Linked DNA regions of Drosophila melanogaster. The protein of the gene in region 1 interacts with the protein of each later gene in a pairwise test. Each region holds a gene or a part of one and is shown on either strand. Other genes may lie near its edges.

What was found. Proteins that work in one complex are often made in the same cells at the same time.
Region 2: the proteins of CG17198 (region 1) and comm2 interact in a two-hybrid assay, tested with the Drosophila melanogaster proteins (one large-scale study listed by BioGRID).

Annotation. Positions count from the first base shown.
Region 1 is NT_033777.3:25,772,798-25,777,233, forward strand, and holds CG17198 (uncharacterized protein), read right to left. Parts: upstream 2,573-4,436; 5' UTR 2,485-2,572; coding exon of another isoform or gene 1,661-2,484; intron 1,603-1,660; exon of another isoform or gene 1,583-1,602; coding exon of another isoform or gene 1,535-1,582; coding exon 635-1,534; 3' UTR 537-634; downstream 1-536. Other genes in the region: CG17197 (uncharacterized protein), read right to left, coding at 1,534-1,582, 1,661-2,484; CG17196 (uncharacterized protein), read right to left, coding at 2,579-3,409; CG17195 (uncharacterized protein), read right to left, coding at 3,533-4,384.
Region 2 is NT_037436.4:15,697,074-15,701,439, reverse strand, and holds comm2 (comm2), read left to right. Parts: upstream 1-1,589; 5' UTR 1,590-1,778; coding exon 1,779-2,238; intron 2,239-2,979; coding exon 2,980-3,551; 3' UTR 3,552-3,846; downstream 3,847-4,366.

The DNA.
Region 1 (4,436 bases):
AGCCGGCGGCGACTTTTTTATTTGGCAATTATGTTGTTTAGACCTCGCAGCAGATTTCGCACCTCGAACATTTTTCATGCACCGAAACACGGAAACGCCCACTCATGGACTTTGATTCCATGTTTTGGGGCATGTCACTGGCATGCGCCGTCATTAATTCTACCATTTCCCAGCCCCCTGGACTCCCATGAATTGTCTATACCGACCGAGCTGTTGTTCTAGCCGCTTTCATTTTTCAAAACGGATTTCAGCTTTTTTCGACACTTGACAAGTGTTTTCGACTTGCGGCAGAAGGTGTCACAAGCCATGGACAGATTTGAGGTTGATTTCGTTGGGCAGGATGTACTTCTCAGCAATTTTCGTGGGCGGAGAGATATGCAAATGTAGGGCGTTTATGGCTTGAATTAAGGACTTCTATCTAGGCGAATTGTTTTTGTTTTGTGTTTTGTCTGCATTCAATTTTTATACATAGATATAAAGTCACTGTACACCTTTACACGTTTATTTTTGAACTAAGAAAATTGTCCGTGTTATTTATAGTCTATTACATTCTTTATTTAGCGACAAATACAACATAACGGAAATAGAATATAATCTTAATGGTCAAGAATAGATAGATGATATCAAATTTGGACTAGACGGCACGCTTCGATTTCCATCGGGTGCCATTGTGGGGCAGGGGACTTTTGATATTTGGCGATAGGCAAGTCCATAATCGCCGACTTCCCAGGATCAGGGTCAAATTATTCCCTAATCCAAGGTCATAGGTTCGATCAGAATAATCGTGCATTACTGAGTTTTTGATGACCGTCACTACTTGGGTGCAAAACAGTGCTGCTGGAAAGAGAACGGCGAATATGTTGACACCTAAGACACTGACTATTCGATAGAATATCACTAATTCTTTTCTACCAGGATTCATGTAAGCATTAAAAATAATGTAATTGGCTTTGACTAAATCAAAAAATCCAACACCGTGCTTATGGGCCAACATGAAGTTATCAAATAAGGCCACTGCGCTACCGATGGCCGCGTAAAATGAGAACCATATGAAATATCGCTGATTATTGTGTCCCACGCAGTTGCCCACAAAATTGCAGTGGTGATCGCGTTTCAGAATGCACGCATCACAGATGTTGCAGTGCCAGGACCTTGGCGGTACATTCCTTTGGCATATTTTGCAAAAATGCCACAGGTGCTCTTCACCTTTCATTGGCTGCTGCATTTGCGGCGGCAAAGAGTCCACAGTGTTCAACGTCGTGACGCACAGCCTTAAGTTTTCCAGAATATTGTAGACAATCCAAGTGGTGACTAAAAAATGAACCGCCTGTCCAAACAATCCCAAAAACTGTGGCATTACGTAGAAAGCTTCGAAGAAGTAGAAAAACAAGATTATGCAGACATTTATGGATACTCCCATGATATCTGTCCAGGATTTGATGGCCCCCACGCGTCTTGGGATGTTGATGGTCTGCATTTGAACTTGTGATTGCATGATGCCCCGAAGCTGTACAAATACATGAGAAATTTTCATCAATCGGATACACGGAGAAACTGTAATTTTGGTGAATGATGCTGAACACTATGATTAAAATACAAAAGGTGGTATATCATGTCAGTTTCAATATAGTTAAAATTTTTAAACTTGCTGATGTCGTACCGTTTGATCTTCCACTGGGCACCATCATGGGGCAGAGGACTCTTAACGGTGGGTGAGAGGAAAGTCCAAAAGCCTTTTCCGCCCAAAATCAGCTTGAAATTCTCCCACAAGCCCAGATCGTAGGTATCACTGTAAAACTTATGCAAAGTGCCATTATTTTTAAGTACAGATAATTGCATAAGCACCGAAGATACAGGGGCTGCAAATACGTAGGTGTTTAGTATAAGAGTGATGACCAGCCAAAATGGAGGTAAGTTATCCCTAGGGATATTTAGGAATATCAGGTCCGAATAGCTAAAATACTTTAGGGTGGCAATAATATGGGTAGCCAAGGCCACACCAGTTCCCAAAGCCATGAAGAGGGTGAACCAGAAAAAGTATCTCTGATTATTGTGTCCGACGCAACTGGCAGTGAAAATGCAGTGGCGGTCCCGCTTCAGAATGCAGCACTTGCACAATATACAGTGCCAGGATCTTGGAGGCATTAGTTTTTCACAAACATCGCAGTAATGCCACTGGTGCTCCTCTTCCGGCTCCGGAATTTGCCGATCCTTTGGCAGGCTCTCCACCGAAGTGCTTGTGATATGACACGCAAGCATATTGCCAAAGATATTATATGTTATAAAGATTGCCACTAGCCAGCCGAGCTTGTACATGAATCCTTGAACATCAAACAATTGGGGTACCACGTAAAACATTTGCAGGACCACAAAAAAGATCGTTGTCACGATTACGAATAGTACTGCGGTCGGATGGGAGATTCGAACGAATATCTTTGGATTTCGACGCGCCAAGTACTTGGTGCAGGCCCATATCAAACACATAATTTTCCGATTTTAAAATTATATATAATTCAGAGTGTAAGCTTGTGTTTTCTGATTTGATGTTGACGAGTTAAGCATTACGTAAAAATTTTCTTTAAAAACATTGCTTAATTTTCCAGTGAGTTCCATCATGCGGCAAAGGACTTCTCAGCGAGGGAGATATAAAAGTCCAGAGTCCTCGCTGACCCATAATAAGCTGGCAGTTATTTCGGAAACCCAAATCGTGATGGCGACTGGAAATTTGATAGTACGTTGAGTTTAACTTTAGAATCTGCACTTGAAATCTCAACATGAGGGCAGGGAATCCGAGGGCAAATATATTGAGAATCAAGCACACGTACCGAAAGTAACTTAAAGATTTTACTGTGTTTCCAAAACCAGCCTTCATTCTGTGCAAAAGATAAAAGCTCCTTCCCACATCAACAAATAGGGTTGCCATGCTCATGAAAATCCCAAATGCCAAATAGAATGTAAGCCAGAAGAAATATCGGTGATTATTGTGTCCGATGCAAGTGGCTGCGAAGATGCAGTGGTGGTCTCGCTTCAAAATGCAGCATTTACACAGTGCACAGTGCCAGGATCGTGGAGGCATCAGTTTCTGACAGATATCGCAATAATGCCACAGGTGCTCCGTTCCCGGTTTCGGAATTTGCCGCTCCTGAGGCAGACTTTTCACTGCTGAGCTTGTACGGTAGCAGGCCAGCAAGTTTCCCAGGATATTGTATGTTGTAAAAATCGCTGATATCACAAAGAACTTATACATAAAACCATCATGCACATCGGGGGCCACATAAAAGACCTGCAGCGTGAAGAAAAAAACCGTGCTCACCAGTAAAAAAATCACTGACAAAGGATGTCCTATGCTCACGGCCTTCTTAGGATAGAGATTGGCATATTCGCGGCACCAATCATTTACGATACACATGATTGTAGGATTTTGAATACAACACCGTATTTTCCACAACTTGACATTAGATGAAAATAAGTTATGATTGGCTTGTTAAAATCGATATATATTTTTCAATAATTTAGTAATACGTCTATTAATTTAGTGAGACTGCTTCATCTGCCAATGTGCACCGTCATGGGGCAAAGGACTCTTCAGCAAGGGCGATATAAAAGTCCAAAGTCCTCGTTGGCCCATTATTGTCTGGCAGTTCTTTCGGAAACCCAGATCGTAGGTGCAATCAAAAATATTATAGTAGGTAGAGTTTTGGCTTAAAATCTGCATTTGATATGCCAACATAAAGGCAGGCATATAGCTGGCGCTTATATTCAAGAGGAAGGCAATGGTCTCAAAAGTATTGCCAGTATAATTTTGGAAAAAAGTCCTAGTTATTAAATTAAAAATCACAGACGAGAGACTCATGAAGTTACCGCCATTCTGCAGGATAAACATACAAAATGTTGCAAAGCTTGTGACTAAGCCGAGCGTTAAATAAAATGTGAACCAGAAGAAAAAGCGTTGATTATTGTGTCCAATGCAAGTGCCCGTGAATATACAGTGGTGGTCCCGTCTCAAAATGCAGGTGTTGCACAAAACGCAGTGCCAGGATCGTGGCGATCTCAGCTTTTTACACGATTCGCAATAGTGCCACAGGGGCTCATCCTCTGGATTCGGGCATCGGGAGTCCTTGGACAAGGTGTTTACCGATGAGCTAGTCATATAGCAGGCCAGCATGTTACCAAGTATGTTGTGCGTTATGAAGGTGACCAATATCCAGTAGAGCTTGTAAGCAATGTCGCCAAACACTTTGGGCGCAATGTAAAACATCTGCAGTGAGAAGAAGAAAGCTGTGCTGCACAGGACGAAAACTATCGAAAGTGGATGCACTATCCTCACAAAGTTCTTCGGGTAGCGATTGGCAAAGTAATGGCAAAATCTATTCACGTAGCACATTTTTTAGGATTTTGAAAACTTCTGTTGTAAATTATAGACTAAATAGAAACAT
Region 2 (4,366 bases), on another chromosome or scaffold:
GACGGGGGCCTCGTAATGGGAAATGGCAACGCATTTCGGAGGGGGCACTTCAAAGTTAATTATTAGGGGATGGCTATAGAGTTATAGTTGATTTATTGGGCTGTTATGGGGCCGGAGAAAATGCTTAGAAATGTGTTTTACCACCAACCAGTACAGCTAATTTTGCGACTCGGTGGGAAATTAGTTCCAGAGGCTCATAGAAGTTTAAGTAAAATAATTATTTCAATACTTAAATATGCTACCTTTAATGTCTTGGTATTTGCATTGACAACCGTTAAGAGGCAATCCCGAAACCATTTTCCAAAGATTATGTCATACCCTAGTCTGCGCCTCTTTGATTGCAAGGATAATCCCCCGTCAGCTTTCCCTGCTCATCCACAAAACCTCCAATTACACACACATCAATCCCATAAATGGACAACTATTGTATCTACTCGATCCTCAGTGCCAATCCCCGTTCCCGGTTCCATTCTCAAGATCCAAAAGCAAAGACCTAACCCTACCTGCTGCTATCGCCAAAAAGTGATCAACCCAAAGCCAGGTGATCATCGCGTCGCCCACAAAATTGCTGCCCGAAATAAGATATCTGCACGTAGCTGTAATTTAAAACTCCACCGAGCCAAAAGGAAAAAATAAGACAAAATTGAAGAAGAAGAAGAGAAGTCTCGGGCCCCTTTGGGCAACAACAACAGTCCCACAAACACATTATCCTACAGCAATAATTTCTCTTTCCCCGGCGAACAATGCAGCGGAACAAGAACTGAACTGTACACCTAGCGGAAAAATGTGCCGTGAAATTTGAGGAAGAAATTTCTAAGATACCCATAAAAGTTCGAATAATGACAAGAAAGATCGACAAAAAAACGAATAATTATTTAAACACCTTTAGTATTTGATGCTTATATCAAATTTTTAAATCAATTTTAAAGTCATACATTTGGGTATAGTCACTTATCATGTAAGTCCTTGCTCCTTTTTCGACATAATTAATATTTCAATTTTTTCAATATACAATACATTCTATAATTTCCTATTGACAAAATAATTTTCCCTATTTTTTTCGACTGCAAGGAAATGGAGATATGTCATTTGCCCGGCTGCAGAACGATCCGAAATCGAAGGAGCCGCCAGAGAAATGAAGATCGATGCCACAGGGTAGTCCCTCTATCCTCTCTCCTTCCCAATCCCTATTCCCATCCCAAATCCTCTCCCTTTTCCCTCTCTTCTGCTTGAGCAACATGTGCGCCGCTTTGTAACGCCAATTATGGTCCCATAATTCCTGGGCATTGTCAGTTTCTGTGGGAGCACAAAAGATGCGCTCCGGGAATCGGAATCGAAATGGGAATTACAAGATACAAGATCGTTTCACGGCGAGAGAACGTTCTCAGCGATGCGTATCCGAGCGGCAAATGAGCAAGAAGAGAGGAGTGATCGAGATCTTGGCCAGGTAGATTTGGATTTACACTCCGGACCGGATGGGATCGGATCGGATCGACTCGAGTCGGCTCGGTTCGGTTCTCTCTTGAGTGGAATGGAGTTAAACTCGTGGAGCTGCTCGGCTTGACCGCTCGACGATCGGCCGCTCAAATCAGTTTGTTTGTAGACTCAGACGTCGACGGACGTGTGCGTTCGTTTAAAGAAACCGGAGACTAAGAACGATCCACGAGATACAGATACCGATATCGCAGCAGTGAAAGTGTGCCGCAACGGATACAACAGCAGAGATATAGATACAAATAGAGATTACACCCGCCAGTCGACCGATATAAAAGTAAACCATGGAGGAATTGCCGCGCGCATTAAACTACGAACTCTCGCACGATTTGCATTTCGATCATTACGCCGGTGCCGCAGCTCAGAAGATTCTGAACAGCGGGAGAAGTTCTCCTGAAGCCTCCACCCCGACCATCACCACATTGGATGCCATCTCCAGCAGTGATTTCCTGAAACAGATTGGCCAGCAGATCCTCAGTTCCATCCAACTGAAACATCAGCATCAGCTCAACGAAGTCAGCCATCCGAGGAATTCCACCAGCGAGGAGATCATGGATTTCGATCTGGCCAATCGGGTGATTCTGGACAGCAGCAGTGTGGATCAGCTGCAGCAGCAGTTGGAGTACGATAAATTCATGAACGAGGTGTGGATCGGCATCGTCTTCACCCTGATCCTCATCTCGATGGTCTTCTGCATCTGCTCCTGCTTCCTGTACCATCAGTTCCGCACCTGGAAACGCAATTGTAAGTATTCCGCATTAGAAATGGGAAAATGTTCATATGGCATCCGTATATATTTGTTAATTGAGATTAAGATCTTATCGACTGCCTGTTTTGATTAGCCAGTACTGCCAAAAAAAAAAAAAAAAAAACACTCACACAATTCAAGCCACATAAACAAGTCGAAATTCCAGGCCATTATAAACGATTTTATTGCTGAAATTAGGTGACCTGACTTCAACCGTCATCAGGGAAATATACTCCATTAGAAGTGGAAATCTTTTCGTATTTTATTCCGTCTTAAGTGCTTCCACATCTCTAATGATTCACTTTGTTACGTCAATCTATTTTTTTTTTTTTTTGAGGTCGTAAAAGCGAAGTATTTCGTTAACTGTCGTCAGGTTCAAGAACAAACACCAATTTTCTGTAGTTCGTGATGCGGCCTAAAAAGTCACGAAACCTTGGAAAAAAATTAGCACATCGCCAACGAAATGGCAGAAAAGTGCGGCAAAAAATTTCAGAGAAATTCGTCTACCTCGAGTTTAATTCGAAAGCGGTGCCAAGGCAATTATGAAAAAGAATGCAGCGAAGAGAAAATATTTAAAAAGTTAATGGAAATGAAAGCCAGCAAATAGGGCAAAACAAATGCGGGCAGAAGCAATTGTAATATTGCAACTGGGTCGAGGTCTTCATTAATCTCGCCCAGTCAACTCCAATCCAACGAAGGCAAATACTAATAAACAATTATTGTTCTTTGTTTTGCAGATCGCAACAATGCAAATGGCTCGACGCAGTGCACCATTGTAGATATAGAGGCGTTGAAACTGCATCCGGATGTGGAGGATCCGGTTCCGGAATACACCCTAGTATCTGGATTGCCCAGCTACGAGGCGGCTCTGGAGCTGCTACAAAAATCCCCGCAGTCATCCTGCCTGATTGTCTATCCGAGTGTGTTCAATGTGTTCAATAAGCAGGAGAGGAGCAGCCAGGAGCTGCAGCATCCAGGAGTTGCAACATCAGCACCTCCAGCCGCACCCGAGAATCACCTGGCACCGCAGACACCTTCGTTTTGTGATGCCACAATGCCGCTGCTCCCAGCAACAACAGCAGCAGCAGCAACACATGCAGCAGCAACAGTAACAGCAGTAACAGCAGCAACAGCAACATCTGCAACATTGGCAGCTTCGCCCACGTGCGAGTCGATTAAGCCAAACTTTGTGATGATGCCAATTGTGCCCAGTTATGCGGAGGTATTCGGCAGCTCGTACAAAACCGTCGACGAGAAAAAGAAATCGAAGTCAAAAGACAGCCAGTCGAAAGACGATATCAAGCGGTAAAGGTAAAAGTGACGAGAATACGAATACGAATACCTAGCCAAGCAACTGAGCTCTGTGATATTTTCATGTTCATGCTGGAAAGACATACCCATATGTAATTAAACTAAGCGCTGTGATTATCAAAAAGACGTAACTAAACATACTACTCGCTACTAAATGTGTTAGCTGAATAGTTTCGCCACATTGTACTTAATGATATCGTATCCAGTACTTATGGAAACGCAAAGATGCATATTGTTACTAGACTTAAGTAGGCCACAAACTAATTATTAATAAATTATACACCTAACAATTTAAATTATCGTTGGTTTAATTATTACTCGAATAACAAGCTCTCTCTTAAAGCTAGAAGCACCGAATGGAGCTCTTCATCTGCCGCCAGCTTCTTTGATTATTATTTCGCCATCAATCAGTTGACATTCAAATTGATTCATTGATGCTGCAGCAACTGATTTGATTGACGCCAGGAACAGATGGCATACAAATCCTTTCGCCAGGCGGTGCCACTCCCCACTTCCACTGAGCTTTGTAAATAGCTTCCAGCTTCGGATGCCGGAGCACAACATCAACAATCCGGCAGATTGAGATAGTTGTCGTAGATAGATAGATAGATGGATAGATAGACAGATAGAGACAGTTCGATTTGACATTGAGCTAAGGACGTGATAGCTTATTCGACTGCCGGTGCTTGCAGTGCGCTCAATGCTTTTGTGCAATTGTAATTTCGCATTGATAAGCTAGTAAACCCATGTATAGGTATGCAAATCGCTGGCAGAGACAATAGACATAATAAATGATCTCAAACACTGTTTTCC